Linked DNA regions of Danio rerio. The protein of the gene in region 1 interacts with the protein of each later gene in a biochemical or structural test. Links are inferred from orthologs where the notes say so. Each region holds a gene or a part of one and is shown in the gene's direction. Other genes may lie near its edges. The genes, in order: map3k7, ikbkb, tab1 and usp4.

The links.
Region 2: of the proteins of map3k7 (region 1) and ikbkb, one has a biochemical effect on the other in vitro, tested with the Homo sapiens proteins (5 studies listed by BioGRID). The link is inferred for Danio rerio from reciprocal best matches to the Homo sapiens genes MAP3K7 and IKBKB.
Region 3: of the proteins of map3k7 (region 1) and tab1, one has a biochemical effect on the other in vitro, tested with the Homo sapiens proteins (4 studies listed by BioGRID and IntAct). The link is inferred for Danio rerio from reciprocal best matches to the Homo sapiens genes MAP3K7 and TAB1.
Region 4: of the proteins of map3k7 (region 1) and usp4, one has a biochemical effect on the other in vitro, tested with the Homo sapiens proteins (2 studies listed by BioGRID). The link is inferred for Danio rerio from reciprocal best matches to the Homo sapiens genes MAP3K7 and USP4.

Annotation. Positions count from the first base shown.
Region 1 is NC_133195.1:26,789,489-26,793,664, reverse strand, and holds part of map3k7 (mitogen-activated protein kinase kinase kinase 7), read left to right. Parts: intron 1-1,124; coding exon 1,125-1,249; intron 1,250-4,176. UniProt on the Homo sapiens protein: Serine/threonine kinase which acts as an essential component of the MAP kinase signal transduction pathway. Plays an important role in the cascades of cellular responses evoked by changes in the environment.
Region 2 is NC_133183.1:3,546,564-3,551,487, forward strand, and holds the start of ikbkb (inhibitor of nuclear factor kappa-B kinase subunit beta), read left to right. Parts: upstream 1-1,975; 5' UTR 1,976-2,147; intron 2,148-4,924.
Region 3 is NC_133181.1:477,959-481,911, reverse strand, and holds part of tab1 (TGF-beta-activated kinase 1 and MAP3K7-binding protein 1), read left to right. Parts: intron 1-956; coding exon 957-1,086; intron 1,087-1,564; coding exon 1,565-1,681; intron 1,682-1,854; coding exon 1,855-1,966; intron 1,967-2,223; coding exon 2,224-2,368; intron 2,369-3,953. UniProt on the Homo sapiens protein: Key adapter protein that plays an essential role in JNK and NF-kappa-B activation and proinflammatory cytokines production in response to stimulation with TLRs and cytokines.
Region 4 is NC_133181.1:44,901,550-44,905,725, reverse strand, and holds part of usp4 (ubiquitin carboxyl-terminal hydrolase 4), read left to right. Parts: coding exon 1-161; intron 162-443; coding exon 444-670; intron 671-2,836; coding exon 2,837-3,061; intron 3,062-3,144; coding exon 3,145-3,215; intron 3,216-3,573; coding exon 3,574-3,689; intron 3,690-3,818; coding exon 3,819-3,968; intron 3,969-4,176.

The DNA of each region.
Region 1 (4,176 bases):
GTGAGACACACTCTGCCAATATTAAGTTTTTAAGTAATTTTAGGTTATATGTTTACATACAACTTGCAGAAAAAGGATAAAATGTGTATTTCAAATTGCATGATGCATTTAGCAGGCCTAAATAAGTTTTTTGCATCAGGTGTTTACACACAAATTAAGCAGTTTAAAAGTTTATGAACATTGAATGTTCCTTTGAAATGACTTTTGGTGCAATAAATAATCCTGAATAATTAAAAGTGTTTAAAATAGTCTTTAAATGTATTTTGTAACTATGAAATTTAAATACTAAAAAAAGCCCCTGCTTATGCAATACTAGAACCATGTCTATATAACCATGGAAATATACGTACACACAATAACACTAAATTTGTATATTTGTAAAATAAAGAAAATAAACAAGATGAGCTTTCTCTCATGCAGTCTCTGTGAAATCTTGATGAAAAGAAATGTCTGCAGCGTCTGCAATCTTTATATTTTCATCCACTGACTGAGAATAATGCTGCACTATTTTAATAACAAATTATTAAAATGTTTTCTTTTCCTCCAACAGACTCTTAATCATTACTTTAACTGGTGTGAGATTTTTGAGCGCTGAATAGGCTATAAGCGCCTAATATATAAATATTTTTCTTTCTTTCTTTTTTATTTATTTATTTTATTTAGGCACCGACACACCCGTGGCTACGCCCCTGTTAAAAAGGAATTATAAGTTTGGTCCTATCCTATCATCAGTATGATCATCAGTATTTATTGACATTAAAATAAGATTTAAAAAAACAAACTTGAAACAAAATTGATAATGAGAATAAAAATATATTGTTTTAGCAACCTATAGAAATAACACTCGTCGTAGATGTCACAGGATGACTGATCGAGAAGGAACATATAGTCTGGCACATTTGCTACCCACGACAAGTCAAGATTTTATCAAGAAAAGAAATTGCATGATCTGACATAGTGACTTTGTAAACGTCAATAAAAATCGTGTGATCAGACTGGGGCTTAAGACTATTTTTGCCAAAGTACTGCCAAATTCATTTGTAAAGTGAGTTCCATGTGTGTGTTTTTTTCCCTCTGGGAGATCTCTTTATTTATTTGTTTATGTCTGTTTTTCCTTCTACTAGTCTGCTCCTGGTTGCTGGAGGTACTGTCCTGAAGATCTGTGACTTCGGGACAGCGTGTGACATCCAGACTCACATGACTAACAATAAGGGAAGTGCTGCCTGGATGGCCCCAGAAGTGTTCGAAGGCAAGTTTTGAATACTTTCCTTTCCATAAGCATTTTTCATGCTTGTACTGTCATTGGCTTTGCCTTGGAGACATTGTTTTTGTTTGTCCCAGATGATTTTGAGGTCAAAAATGATTTCCTGTTAACCTTTTCACCCCCTTTCTTCCTGTATTTCTCATTAATTGACTTCACACAGGCCTCTTTAGTCTTCGCTATCACTCATACAAATATTTCCCTAAAACCAGAATTAGTGGATGTTCCTGGTCTAGATGATGGATGAAAGCATTATAATTTAATGCATGCGTCCGCAATCAACCGGTAATGGGTTTCAATTTTAGCAAACACGTTCAGGGGCATTTTACTGTCAGGGGGGTCGGAGGAAACATCAATTAGGAGCAGGTTGTTATCTTGTTTGTTTGGGGAGGAGCAGAAATCCCATGTTATTACTCCACTAGTGCTGACAGCAGAGGAGACGAAGCTCTCCTTATTTGCTGCACTGACAACAGTATTATCAGAAGACCAGAGCAAGGCAGCGTAAAGACATACCAGCGCAAGTCGCTGTAATTTAAGAATAATAAGAGCAGCAATTAAGGCTCTCCAGGGCAGCATGAGAGGAAATTAGCTCATCTGTTCAAAAAGGGCAGACAAGATAAAGGCTTTCCCACCCTGGACGGCAGAAAAGGAGCTTATGGGAAATAGCTTTGCTGCTTTGTTGTGTGATACCCTTTGATTGCATATTATTATTTTGGGCAGCTCGACATCAACAAAATATCTTCAAAATGATTCTAGTTTGTCTGCATTAAACATCTGCAATTATTTTAATAGCATGTGTCATATAAAGGGCATTTGATGGTTTGTCCACCACACTAGTTATGCACCTATATTAAAGGTGCTGTTTGTAATGTTTTTAATTTTTTTAAGCATAACATCATATGTTTGCAGATATTTAAGAAACATGCTAAGTAAAAATTCTTGTATATTTGAAAAACAATGCTAAAGTTATATATTCTGCTTTGAGAATGCAAGTTATGTGCCAAAAGGCTGTCTGTTTTAGTTCTTTTAACTCGCCCACTGCTAGTTTAGCCAATTATATTTCAGCACCTCAGGTTGCCTTGTTGGAAAACAGCGTATTTCATTCATTTATTAATTCAGAAAGGCTCTCAAGGCATGCGCCTATGACTGAAATGCGACCACCTGTGGTCAGTAGCAGACTCCGAAATGAGACACAGATTCAGAGATCCACATTAGGTTAATAATTAGCAAATCATTTAAACATATTATGAATGTAAACATTAGGTGAGCAGGTTACATTTTAACCCTATTTCTTAACAGCACGTTACGTGGCGAGATACGCAGTAGTAAGCAATGTGGCTGTTTGCACCAGACGAAACAAGACAGAAATTTAAACAGCCATTCAGAAGCACAGAATATGCACTCACTCACAGAATGGTAAGGTTTATAATCTAATCAATACATATTAAATAATACCACCATTATTTAGTGTAAAGGCTAAAGTCACAGTTTTGAAGTTCAATTTCAAACGGTTTATTTTATTTTCTAGATATGAGGTGATCTAGATCTATCTGCTCCTGCTTTCAATAGTATGCCAATAGATGTCATGAATGACATTCAAACTTACATTATTAGCATTTAACACTGAATAAAGCACATGAGGTGTACCTGAGGTGATCATTTTCAGTTTTTTGTTGTTCAGCTGCAAGAAAAAGAAGCTGTTTCTCAAATATTAATTTGATTTGTTGGTTGGAACAAAAACTCCTTTTAATATGAAAATATTCCTTCTATTGCGTGCCTTTGCTTTTATATAGAACACAGTTTGAATCCGCCTTTAGGCTTAATTGTCTTGTAATTGACTTGCTCCTAGTCTTGAATCTGGCAACCTGCGCTTGCATTTGTTTTGATCCAGAAATGCAATTCCTAGTTCAACCACCTTTAATCTGCATATTAAGTGTGATGTCACGCAAAGCGGCTTCTGGGTCCAAGTGCTCAATCAAACTGTATGGGGAGACGACTGTAATACTTTTGAAAATCACGGTGTATATATATATATATATATATATATATATATATATATATATATATATATATATATATATATATATATATATATATATATATATATATATATATATCCATGCCTTATTTCCGATGGCTAGAAAGTTAAGCCAGGGACTGTTGTGTACACTATGATTTTATATAAAATTCCCTTTTATGTGGGATATGACTAAAAATTTATCATGAATGAATATTTTCTCTATTCAAATGAATGGCAACTTGGACCCGTAAACAGTATACCATTCGTCATGACTTAACAAGCGGATAGATAATTTATTTATTTTTTTTGTTAATGCTGTGTATCTTGTCTGGGTTTTTTTTACATTATTTTTTAAATTGCAGTTAAATTCATATCAAAAACTAGAATTTGAAGGTGCAGATTTAAGATGCGTTTAGAATGTCATGCTATCACTATCAATTAATATGTGGGGTCAGTAAGTGTTTCTGCTTTTATTTGATCAAAATATTGTAAAGAATATGCTTTAAATGCTTTGCTGTTTGAGGATTGGTTTATTCAGTTTGAGTTTGATTTAAAGGCAAAATTCTTTCTGGAAAATATAAGAAGCTCAACATTCTTTTACCAGTCCTGATTAAAACACAAACCAACAGCGTTTGGCACTTATGCTGCTAAGAGCATTAACTAAAGCTGCTGCTCTTCATCTGATTTTCTATTGTTGTCTTTCTCTGTTAATTGTAATTAGTTTATAAGTTATCCTAGAAATCTAGTTTATTCTCTAGTTAATGATTGAAAGATCAAAAAACAGCATGTATACTCCTGACAACACTCTTATCTTAAAGTAGGGTGTCTGTGGGGTCTTAAAAATAATTAAAAGTTGATAAATTAATTTAGAGAAATTTAAAGGCCTTAAAGTCTT
Region 2 (4,924 bases), on another chromosome or scaffold:
AGTTGTTGTGTGTTACCATAGCAACTAGAGTTGCGACAACAGATTAATTCAAATCAAAAACATAATATTTACTATATAACTACTGTAGTATCTTTCATGTATTCAATAATAAACGTGGTTGTAAATTATATTAGCCTACTATTGTTGTCGTGTTACTATAGCAACTTCACAGTTATCACAACAAATTAAATTAAGCTACTTTACGGTTTAAAAACATAATATTTACCACAGAAATATTTTTCATGTAATGATAACTCGAGTATTCTTATACAGTAGTGTTTTACACAATACAGTAGAAAACTAGTAAAGTTGTTTATATTGGCCTACTATAATTGTATTTTAACATAGCAACTAGTTACCACAAAAAAATTTAATTAAGTTCTTGGTTCAATAACATAGTATTTACTATGTAATTACTATAAATGTAGGCAATACTTAACGCTTTATAATTCTTCGTTGAGTATGTTTAGCATACAGTAATGTCTTATACGGAAAGGTAGAAAACTAGTACAGTTGTTTATATTAGCCTACTATAGTTGTTGTGTTACCATGGTAATTACAGAGTTACCGCAACAGATTTATTCAAGTATGTTACGGTTAAAATTATATTTATAATTACTGTAGTATTTTTCTTGTGGGTAATAATAAATGCTGTATAATTCTTTTGAAGTACGTTAAGCCTACAGTACAGTTGTTTATATTAGCTAACTATAGTGGTTGTGTGTTACCATAGCAACTAGAGTTACCACAACAGATTAATTCAAATCAAAAACATAATATTTACTATATAATTACTGTAGTATCTTTTATGTAGGTAATAATAAATGTGGTATAATTCTTCATAAAGTATGCCTACAGTACAGTTGTTTATATTAGCATACTATTGTTGTCGTGTTACTATAGCAACTTCATAGTTACCACAACAAATTAAAGTAGGCTACTTTACGGTTTAAAATTATATTCACTGTGACTGTATAATTACAGAAGTATTCTTCATGTACGTAATAATAAATCCTGTATAATTCTTCAGTATGCTTAACCTACAGTACAGTAGTGTTGTATACAATACAGAAGAAAACTAGTACAGTGGTTTATATTAGCCTACTATAGTTGTTGTGTTACCATAGTAACTACAGAGTTACCGCAACAGATTTATTCAAGTACGTTACGGTTAAAAACATATTTATAATTACTGTTGTATTTTTCATGTGGGTATAATAATTGCCGTATAATTCTTTGTGAAGTATGTTAAGCCTAGTTGTTTATATTAGCCTACTATAATAACTGTAGTATCTTTCACGTAGGTAATGCTGTATATAGCATATAGCATACAGTACAGAAGAAAACTAGTAGTTGTTTACCCTACTATTGTTGTTGTGTGTTACTAGTAAGTATAGTTGCAACAACAGACTTATTCAACTACTGTACAGTTAAAAAACATAAGATTTACTATATAATTACAGTAGTAGCTAATATTCTTCGTGTAGGTAAGGATACATGTCCTATAATTCTTCAGTACAGTACAGTCTTGTATACAGTACAGTAGAAAGCTAGTACAGTTGTTTATATTAGCCTACCATAGTTATTGTGTTATGATATTAACTACAGAGTTACTACAACATATTTATTGAAGTACTTTACGGTTCAAAAACATTATATTTATAACTACTGCGTATCTTTCATGTAGTTAATAATAAATGCTGTATATTTCATGACGTATGTTTACCCAGTACAGTTGTTTACATTAGCCAAATATAGTAGTTGTGTTACCATAGCAACTACCCCAACAGGTTAATTCAAATAAAAAACATAATATTTATTATATAATTACTGTAGTATCTTTAATCTCGGTAATAATAAATGTAAAATTCTTCGTGAAGTATTTTTAGTATGCAGTATGTACAGTACAGTAGGCTATTGAAAATACGGAAGTCTGTTTTTGAGTCTGCGCTTCTACGGTACTTACGGGGGAAAGTTTCAGGAAGTAGAGAAACTCAACGCTCTTCTGCTTTCAAACACAATCACAAACCTCTTTACAGTCTGATTTACCGAACAAATCCGTTAAATGTGTAAAAGTCGCGGGAATAATCAGCTGTGAGACGGAGAAAAGTGTATTTTGGAGGTCAGATCCAGTCTTACAGCAGCAGGTAAAATCACTTCACATTCACGACACGATGAGTTCCAGTAAACACGAAGAGTGTTATCGCACATAAACAATCTTAAACATATGTAACGTTACTTTACTTACTTAGGTAGAGTTATTTTGTAATTCAGCAGCTGTATGAAGCTTTAAGATAATCAGATTGTGTGTACAAATATCAAACACGAGCCGGTTATTAAAAACGAAAGTGATTCATTCATCAAAGTTAAATAATATTTAATAAAATCGCAGCTTTTAAGTTGTCCAAATGAGTATGTAATCTTAATTGTATAATTTGTATATCTAAGTACACTTAAAATAGACCCAAATACATAATATAGCTAATACAATAACATTCTAATTAATTACAGTTACTAAACTATAACAATATAACACAGTTACTAAATAATAATAATTATTAATCTATAAACTCTTATTGTGTGACTCTTATTTTGTCATTTATATCCACATACACCCAGAATAGAAACCAAATGCATAATATATTCAATACAATAACATTTTACTTAATTACATAGGTACTAATAACAATGAATCTATTAACTAAAGAAAACAATCATTATAATTTTTAATAATAACTATTGTATTCAACATTTAACAGCTGTATGAAACTTTAAACTAATAGATTTTTGTTCAAAGAAAAAGTGAATGAATACACTACATTTTTAATCAATTACGTAGTTACTAAATACTAATAATTACAACATAATATTTTGTAAACAAGAATGATCCTATTTTAATAAGTATTGTAATTCAGCAGCTGTATGTAAATTTGTCCCGATTTTGTGTACAAAAAATGCACAGGTCATAAAAAAGCCATTCATTTATCAAAGCTGCATAATACACATATTTATCACTGTTTTAAAAGTGTTTGTTATTTTAAATCAGTCTTTAGTCATCTGAACGACGATGCGGGCTCTTATTTTGTCATTTGTACATCTAAATACTCTTTAAATACACTCATAATAGAACCAGATACATAATAATAAACATTCTATAAATGCTGGGTTGTCTTAACATGTTTGGTCATTTATAGACAGAAGTGGTAATGGATTGATTTTATCAATTCAATTTAAATGAGACCTTTCCATTTTTGTCTATATTTAACCCAGCATTGGGTTGAAACTCATTCAGTGCACCAATACAACAGCGTTCTAATTAATCATGTAGTTACTAAATGCATTTTAATTTAACAAACTAAAGAAAACAATTATAGGTTAAATAATTATATTATATATAATTTATAATTATAGTTTTAATAATAATACTAATTATAAAATCCAGAAAATAAAAGTAAATAATAATAATTATACTAAAAGTAAAAATATTAATAGCAATAATACTTTTATTGTTCTAATAAAACATTGTAGTTCGTTATTTTTCAGACAAGAGCTTCAAGATATATAATTTGTCCTTATACCTTGGGTCAAATATAGACAAATCTAACTGTTGGGTTAAAATATTTAATTTAATTTAATTTAAGAGATTAACCCATTGGTTGGGTTTGTCCATATTTGACCCAGTATCAGGTTAAAACAACCCATTTGTTTTTTGGGGGACCAACGCAATAACATTATAATTATTATAATATAGATAAGTATTGATTATTAACATTATAATGGTTACCGAATATATTTTAATTAAAATAAACTAAAGAAAACAATAATTACAATATTTAAATAATACAATAATTTAAGTTTTGATTATTAACATTATAATGGTTACTGAATATATTTTAATTAAAATAAACTAAAGAAAACAATAATTGCAATATTTAAATAATACAATAATTTAAGTTTTGATTATTAACATTATAATGGTTACTGAATATATTTTAATTAAAATAAACTAAAGAAAACAATAATTGCAATATTTAAATAATACAATAATTCTAAAACAATAATAAAAAATAATATAATACAATAATATTCATTGTACTAATAGTAATAATAATAATAATTTTATTGACCTAATCAAACATTATTTTTTAGACGAGAGCTTCCAGAGATATAATGTCTTCATACATTTTAAAAACGTTGGGTCAAATATGGACAAATTCAACTGTTGGGTTAATTTTTTTTAATTTTTCATTTAGTTGAAAAAAATAACCTAGTGGTTGGGTTTGTCCATTTTGACCCAGCATTGGGTTAAAACAATACATTTGTTTTTTGGTGGGACCAATACAATAACACTCTAATTAATTAATAACATTCTAATTAATTACGCATAGCTACTAAATACATTTTAATTAAAAAAAACTAGACACAACAATAATTGCAATATTTTTAAAATAATGATTCTAAAATCATAAAAAAATATTAATATTAATAAAAAATATATTAATTGTACTAATTGTAATAGGAATAATATTTTTTTGTCCTAATTAAACATTCATTTTTATACAAGAGCTTACAGAGATATCATTTGTCTTCATACATTCTAAAAATCATTGTGTAAAATATGCACAAAACCAACTATTGGGTTAAAAAATGTTTCATAAATTTACCCAGTGGTTGAGTCGATCCATATTTGACCCAGCATTGAGTTAAAAACAACTATTTTTTTTTTGTTTTTGTTTTTTAGAGTTAACCAAAACAATAACATTCTAAATAATTTATAACATTGTAATTAATTGCGTATAGTTACTTAATACATTTTAATTAAAAGAAAACTAAAGAAAAATATAATTACACTAGTTAAATAATAATAATTCTAAAATAAAAAAATATTACATCTAAAAATATAATAAAATAATAATGCTTGCAC
Region 3 (3,953 bases), on another chromosome or scaffold:
ATGCACATACTCACACACATACACACTCACAAACACAGTTACAATCACACACACACACACACACACACACCCTCACAAACACAGTATCACACTCAGAAACACACGCCCTCACAAACACAGTTACAATCACACACACACACACTCAGAAACACAGACATTTACAAACACAGTTACAACCACAACCACGATCACACACGCACACACACACACACATTTACAAACGCACACTCACAAACAGAGTTACACCACACACACATACTCAAATACAAACACAGTTACAATCGCACACACCCTAACAAACACACATTTCGAACACACACTTACAAACACAGTTACAACCACAAACACACACACACACACACACACATTTACAAACACACACTCACAAACACAGTTACAACCACACACACACTCATTAACAAACACACACTTACAAACACAGTTACAACCACAACCACACACACAAACACACACACACACACACACAAACACACACACACACACACATTTACAAACACACACTCACAAACACAGTTACAACCACAAACACACACACACACACACATTTACAAAGACACCTTCACCAACACAGTTACAACCACACACACTCATTAACAAACACACATTTACAAACACACACTCACAAACACAGTTAAAACCACACACACACTCATTAACAAACACACACTTACAAACACAGTTACAACCACAACCACACACACAAACACACACACACACACACACACAAACACACACACACACACATTTACAAACACACACTCACAAACACAGTTACAACCACACACACTCCCAAACATACATTTGCAAACAAACAAACACACTCACACACACATACTCACAAACACACGTTTACAAATAAACACACACACACTCACAAACAGTTACAAACACTCACACATTCAATAGTGTGTGTGTGTGTGTGTGTGTGTGTGTAGGGTGCGTATGTGTCCGCTCAGACACAGAAGATAGCAGACCGTCTGAAGACTTTAGAGCAGGAGGTTTCAGGAGGAGCAACAGCGATAGTGGCGCTCATCCTCAACAACAAACTCTACATCGCTAACGTAGGTATGTACACACACACACACACACATTTTAACATACATACTTTTACACACATGCATACATGCTCTTACACATACACACATTCTGTCATTCACACACTAACATACACACACACAAATACACACATAGTTTTACACACAAACAAATAAACTGTTTATTCACACTACACACACACACTCTTACACATGCACTCCTACACACACATTCTAACATACACACATGCATACATACATACACACACTATTCACACACTCTAACATACACACACAAACAAACACACACAAATACAATCAGTTTGAAACACACTTACACACAGAAAATAAACACACACTCTTACACACACACACACACACACACACACGCACACTACAGTTGTTGATGTGTGTAAGCGTCTACTGAATGTGTAACTGTAATGTTCTGTGTGTGTGTGTGTGTGTGTGTGTGTGTGTGTGTGTGTGTGTGTGTGTGTGTGTGTGTTCAGGCACTAATCGAGCTCTCCTGTGCAAAACCACCAGTGATGGTCAGAATCAGGTGATCCAGATCGGCCGAGCACACACCACTGATAATGAAGACGAGCTGACCAGACTCGCACAGCTGGGTGAACACACACCACACAGCACAACACACACAGAGTCAACACAACATAACACAACTCATTCATTAGTCTGCAAGTAACAGCGTGGGCAGAAATATGACGAGTGTATGTGTGTGCGTGCGATCTCAGTGATGTTTGTGTGTAAATGTGTGTGTGTGTGTGTGTGTTCTGCGCAGGTCTGGATCCGGTGCGCTTGAGACAGACAGCAGTGATCTCAGGTCAGAGCAGCACTCGCCGCATCGGAGATTATAAAGTCAAGTTCAACTACACAGACATCGACGTGCTCAGGTGTGTGTTCATCTGTCAGTAATCACACACACACACACACATTAAAGAGATGTATTGTTTATAATCACACTGTGATTGACATTCTCCCTTTGCACGTGTCATCAGAGGGGGAAAGCCCCGCCCACTAGTGCCCATCTCTCCCTCATTAGCATAAACAGTAGCCCTGAGTGAGCACAGGGGCGGAGAGGAGGAGGGGTTAATATTTGTTTTTATTAAAGCAGCAACCAACCGAACATGTGTTTAACTAATGTTCACAGTGCAGCAAAGCATAAGCCAATCATCGCAGAGCCTGAGATCCACGGCGGCCAATCACTGGCAGGCGTGACGGGCTTCTTGCTGCTGATGTCAGAGGGGCTCATCAAAGCCCTGGAGGCGGCACACGGACCGGAGCAGGTCAACCAGGTAGATCAATAACCAATCATCAGCTCAAGATGCTGCACAAACACAGAGGGTGCGTCTCAATCAGCGCTCTTGTTCACTAGTCAGTGCACTGAATAAGGCGTCAGCTGTCTCAATTGCAAAACTCCTCCAGTGCACTGAAACATTCGCAGGCTAAAGAGTACCACAGTGCATGTGAAAATAAGGGCGGATGGATACACACTACATGCACCCTAACAGACATTGGGAAGTGTGAATATTATTAATGTGACCCAAATCATCAAACGGAACGACAATATATGTATAAAGAATACATTATTTATTTACTATTAGCATGAACCCACATAGCTAGATAGGTTAGCAAACATTCTATATTCCCTGAGGGGGTGTGGTGCCTGTTCATATTCCAAGTGGGTGTGGCCTAAAATATCTGTCTATTGATTCCTCAAGTGGGTGTAGCCTAAATTATCTGCGTCTATTGATCTCCTGGGTGGGCGTGGCATAAGGGCACTGTTTCTATTTATTCCCAAGTGGGTTTGACCTAAATGCTTTCTGTTTCTTGATTTCCTGAGTGGGCGTGTCCTAAATGCATGGTTTCCATTTATTCCTTAGTGGGTGTGTCCTAAATGCTTTCTATCTCTAGTAATTCCCTGAGTGGGAGTGTCCTAAATGTAAATGTTCTATTTATTCCCAAGTGGGTGTGGCCTAAATGCTTTCTGTCTCTATTGATTCCCTCAGTGGGCGTGTCCTAAATGCAATTTTTTTATCCCGAGTGGGTGTGTTCTAAATACATGGTTTCTATTTATTCTCAAGTGGGTGTGGCCTAAATGCTTTTTGTCTCTATTGATTCCCTGAGTGGGCGTGTCTTAAATGCACATTTTTTATTCCCAAATGGGCGTGACCTAAATTCTTTTTCTCTATTAATTCCCTGAGTGGGCGTGTCCTAATTGCACAGTTTCTATTTATTCCCAAGTGGGCGTGGCCTGATTGCTTTATCTCTTTTGATTACCTCAGTGGGTGTGTCCTAAATGTAAATGTTCTATTTATTCCCAAGTGGGTGTGGCCTAAATGCTTTCTGTCTCTATTTCCTGAGTGGGCGTGTCCTTAAAGCACATTTTCTGTTGATTCCCAAGTGGGTGTGGCCTAAATGCTTTCTGTCACTAAAGATTCCCCAGAGGGGGCATGGCCTAAATGCTTTGTCACTAATGATTTCTGAGAGGGTGTGGCCTAAATTATTTATATCTCTATTGATTCCCTAAGTGGGCGTGTCCTAAATGCACAGTTTCTATTTATTCCTTCGTGGGTGTGGCCTAAATGCTTTCTATCTCTATTAATTCCCTGAGTGGGAGTGTCCTAAATGTAAATGTTCTATTTATTTCTCAGTGGGCGTGTCCTAAATGCAATTTTTTAATCCCCTGAGTGGGTGTGTCCTAAATGCACAGTTTCCATTTATTCCCAAGTGGGTGTGGCCTGATTGCTTTATCTCTTTTGATTTCTTCAGTTGGCGTGTCCTAAATATAAATGTTCTATTTATTCCCAAGTGGGTGTGGCCTAAATGCTTTTAGTCTCTATTGATTCCCTGAGTGGGCGTGTCCTAAATGCACATTTT
Region 4 (4,176 bases), on another chromosome or scaffold:
AGTGAGAGGATGAATCTGCCAGTGTACTTTAGAGAGAGGCATGCTAAACACAGTGGAGGCTCTTCGGGCACAATGCTCTTCGGTCAACCTCTTCTCATCACCGTCCCGCGCCTCAACCTCACCGTGGATACCCTCTACGAGCGCGTGCTGGAGAGAATTGGGTTAGTATTGTGTTTTCTTGTTCTTCTAGAGCAGTGGTCACCAAACTTGTTCCTGGAGGGCCGGTGTCCTGCAGATTTTAGCTCTAACCCTAATCAAACACACCTGAACAAGCTAATCAAGGTCTTACTAGGTATACTTGAAACATCCAGGCAGGTGTGCTGAGGCAAGATGGAGCTAAACCCTGCAGAGACACCGGCCCTCCTGGACCAGGATTGGTGACCCCTGTTCTAGAGTATTATTTTAATCCTGGCAATTAAACCAGACTTTTATTTTTATTTTAGGCGATACGTTAAACGTTCACAAGGTACCATTACAGAGAGTAGAGCATCTGCTTCAGCCACATCTTCTAGCAGCAGCCAATCACCAGAATGCCTCGCTTCAGTGTCCAGTCACGGCACAGGCCTGAGTGGCTGCAGCAGCCCAGTTTCAGATGGAGCTTCCTGCAGCGCTGGATCCAACGGCAGCAACCATTCTGGAACCTGCAACGGCCCTAATGGAGTTTGTGATGGTAGGATAGTCTGACTTTCATAAAGCTCCCAAATGCTGTCGTTTAGTATGTTTACATGGATGCCAGAACTCTGATTTTAATTTGTTTGAGATAATACTCTGATTAAAATGCTGAAGTTTCTTTCCATTTGGTGAACGGTATCAAATTTCTGTCATTCCTTGCTTCATACTAGCAAGCTAAATATATTGTTTTAGCATCGATATTGCAATGTGTACATCCGCAATAGTCACATCGCAAAGATATAATTAAGTCTGAATGATAGTTGAACAGAATTGTATTTAATCACTTTATTTATATGGAATTCATGTGATTTATGCTAAACAAAAATAATTAGAATATAAATATAAATTAAAAATAAAAAATATTTATTAAATATAAAAATAATATAGAAAAATACCCTACAAGCAGATAATTTAGCTTGTTTTAAGAAAAAATTCTTTATTTTGACTTATTTCTAATGCTGTGTATCTATTTAATATAACATGTATAATGTGAACATAGAAGGACCATTCTAAAAGCAACTCGTATAAACATCTTAATCATATTGTTGCCTTATTTAGATTAAGGTAATTACTGATGTCCATGTAAACAAATTCAATCAAGTAATCGGTAATCTAAAATTTAAAGAAATTTAAAGAAATAGTGTCAAAATTGTCATAATTTTATTTATTATTATTTTTTTTTTACATGTTTCAAACCTTTGAGTTTCATTTTTTCATTAAATGAAGATGCACTAAAACAAGATCTTTTGAAGAAAGCTGTAAACCTGTAACCATTGACTTCCATGTTTTCCCTCTTTCTTGTTGTATGTATTTAGTTTGTAGAATGGTTCGTTGCACACATCGTTACATCCTAATGCTACGGTTTCCTCCAGAATTTCACATTTAAATCATTATGGTGTGATATACTGTTTGGGGTGTAATTTTATGAAAGCTTCAAGTGAAGTAAATTATTTGTCATGCTATATGTGAAAACAGACAAAGGCAGATACAAATTCTTGCTCGACCTTTGTTGTTGTTTTTATGTGAAACTGTTGACCGCTGCTGTGTGTGAATCCAATCACAAAATGCTGTGGAAAAAAAATGCATGTCTAAACTGTTCATCAGTAAGGAGACTCAAATAGGAATTTAATTTGTGTTTACTTCACTTATGAAGCTGGTTAAAGATGCTCAAATCTCAGTTTAATGCATTCTTAATCAGAGTATTGTCTTATGTGTGTAAATATTGAGAAATTGTACATTTACTGACATTCATCATAGTACAGATTAGCAGTATTAGATTCTGATGGTATGATGACCTTAGATAAAAATATTGCAGTTTCACTGTATTGATTACTACTCTAAAATATATTATTTTTAAATGTCTGGGTAAAAAATTAAGCATAATATATTTTATTTTGAGAAACATTTAAAATATTTTGGAACAGTAATCATCCCAGCGAGCACAGGATGTCAACATAATGTCAGATTGATATTGGACCCCAATGTTAAGGCGATGTTGCATTTTGTTTAGATTTGAAAATCAAGTTGATGTAAAATCAACCAAATATCAATGTCTAATGATGTTACACTTTAACTATATATCAGACTTTGGATTTTGGTTGCCATACCTGATGAATAAATGTCATTATTTGACGTCAACATGACGTTGGTTTAAGATGTTGGCTCAATGTAGGATTTTAGTCACTTTCCAACACATACTAAAATCAATTAAATAGCAACATCATTTGTGTCATTATTGGACGTCAAATAACCGTTGTCCTTAGACGCTAGCTAGATATTGCATTTTGGTCACCTGACATCACGACCTACATCTAACCTAATATTAACGTCATGTGATTTTGTGCGCCTGCTTGGATGTCAGGTTAAATAATTCAAATAAATAATTGAATCAATCATTTTGCTGTCATCATTGGTTTCAAAAACAGATTTCTGTATAATTTAAAACACAATCTTTGGATATCTTTACTGCTAGACATACTGTTGTCCTAAAAACTTAAAAAAAAAAAAAAAAAGTAATTAAAAGTCTTATACTTACCTTAGTAACAGTATAGCAGAAAATTTTGGCGGTTTTAAAACCTCGAATTTTCCAAACTGCCGTATACATTGAACACTGTTATCGTCCAATGTCTAGTACAGATCTACTATTGTTTAATGTTTGTTTTAGGAGATGAGGAAGCTATGGACCACCAGGAGAGTCCAGAGCCAGAAAACAGCCATTCGGACACTGTGGACGGAGAGGAGGATTCTGAACCAGAGAATGGGCCAAATAGTAGCGGAGGAAAATCTTTTAATTCTCGGCCAAAACTCTTTTCTTTCAGCATGGTCAACTCCTACGGCACAGCCAACATCAGTTCTCTTCCATTTGATGGCAATCTACTGAAGCTAACAAGTAACTATAACCATTTGACGTTTTAAAATAGTAACAAAAAATAAGTAAGATCTTGCATTAAGAACAGCCGTTTCTTTCTACAGCTCACTCAACAGTAGCCATTGATTGGGACTCGGACACAAAAAGATTGTGCTATGATGATCAGGAAGCTGAGGTACTTGTCATAATTTTTTGTTTATTATAATGTAGATTATTTCTGTGATGGAAAAAGCTGCTATTACTCCAGTCATCAGTGGTAGAAATCATTCTGACATGCTGATTTGCTGCTCAATAAACATTTCTTATTGTCAGCGATGTTAAAAATAGTCATGCTGCTTAATTTGTTTTACTCATTTGTAAAGGTTTCAAATATAAATTTTTTACAACATGATCTTGTTGCATAAATGTTGTGACTTTTGATCAGCTGAGTGTGTCTTTACTGTACAAGTGTTTTACTGTACATTTTTTGAACATTTTCAAAATGGAGCATTTAATTTTCAGCCATTAGACATTAATGTAAAATCTCTTCCTAGGCCTATGACAAACACGAGAGTATGCTTCATGCTCAAAAGAAGAAGACTACAGTAGCTTTACGGGAATGCATTGAGCTCTTTACTACAATGGAGACTTTAGGAGAGCATGATCCATGGTGAGGAGCATGTTCAGGTTATTGCATGTCACCGTTAATACTTATATTTTTAAGGTCAACTGTTTTAGCAGAGCATTGCAACGTTAGTGCTGTTTTAATAGGGTTTTTGTTTGCTGTGCACCTCTTCAGGTACTGCCCCACGTGTAAGAAACACCAGCAGGCCACTAAGAAGTTTGATCTGTGGTCTCTTCCACGCATTTTGGTTGTGCATCTGAAGCGCTTCTCCTACAACCGCTGCTGGAGAGACAAGCTCGACACTGTTGTGGACTTTCCAATTAGGTACATCTTTTGCAAAACATCTGATTGTTTTGTTATTATTATCATCATTATTATTTATACAATATTTTTTTATACTATTATGAAGATGGATAGATGGATAAATATTTTTATATAGATCTAGAATTATAATTTGTGTCCGTATATTTTAAACCTGTTAATCATGTTTATTTAAACTAGCTTAATATCACAAGTCATGTAATAGTTTCCT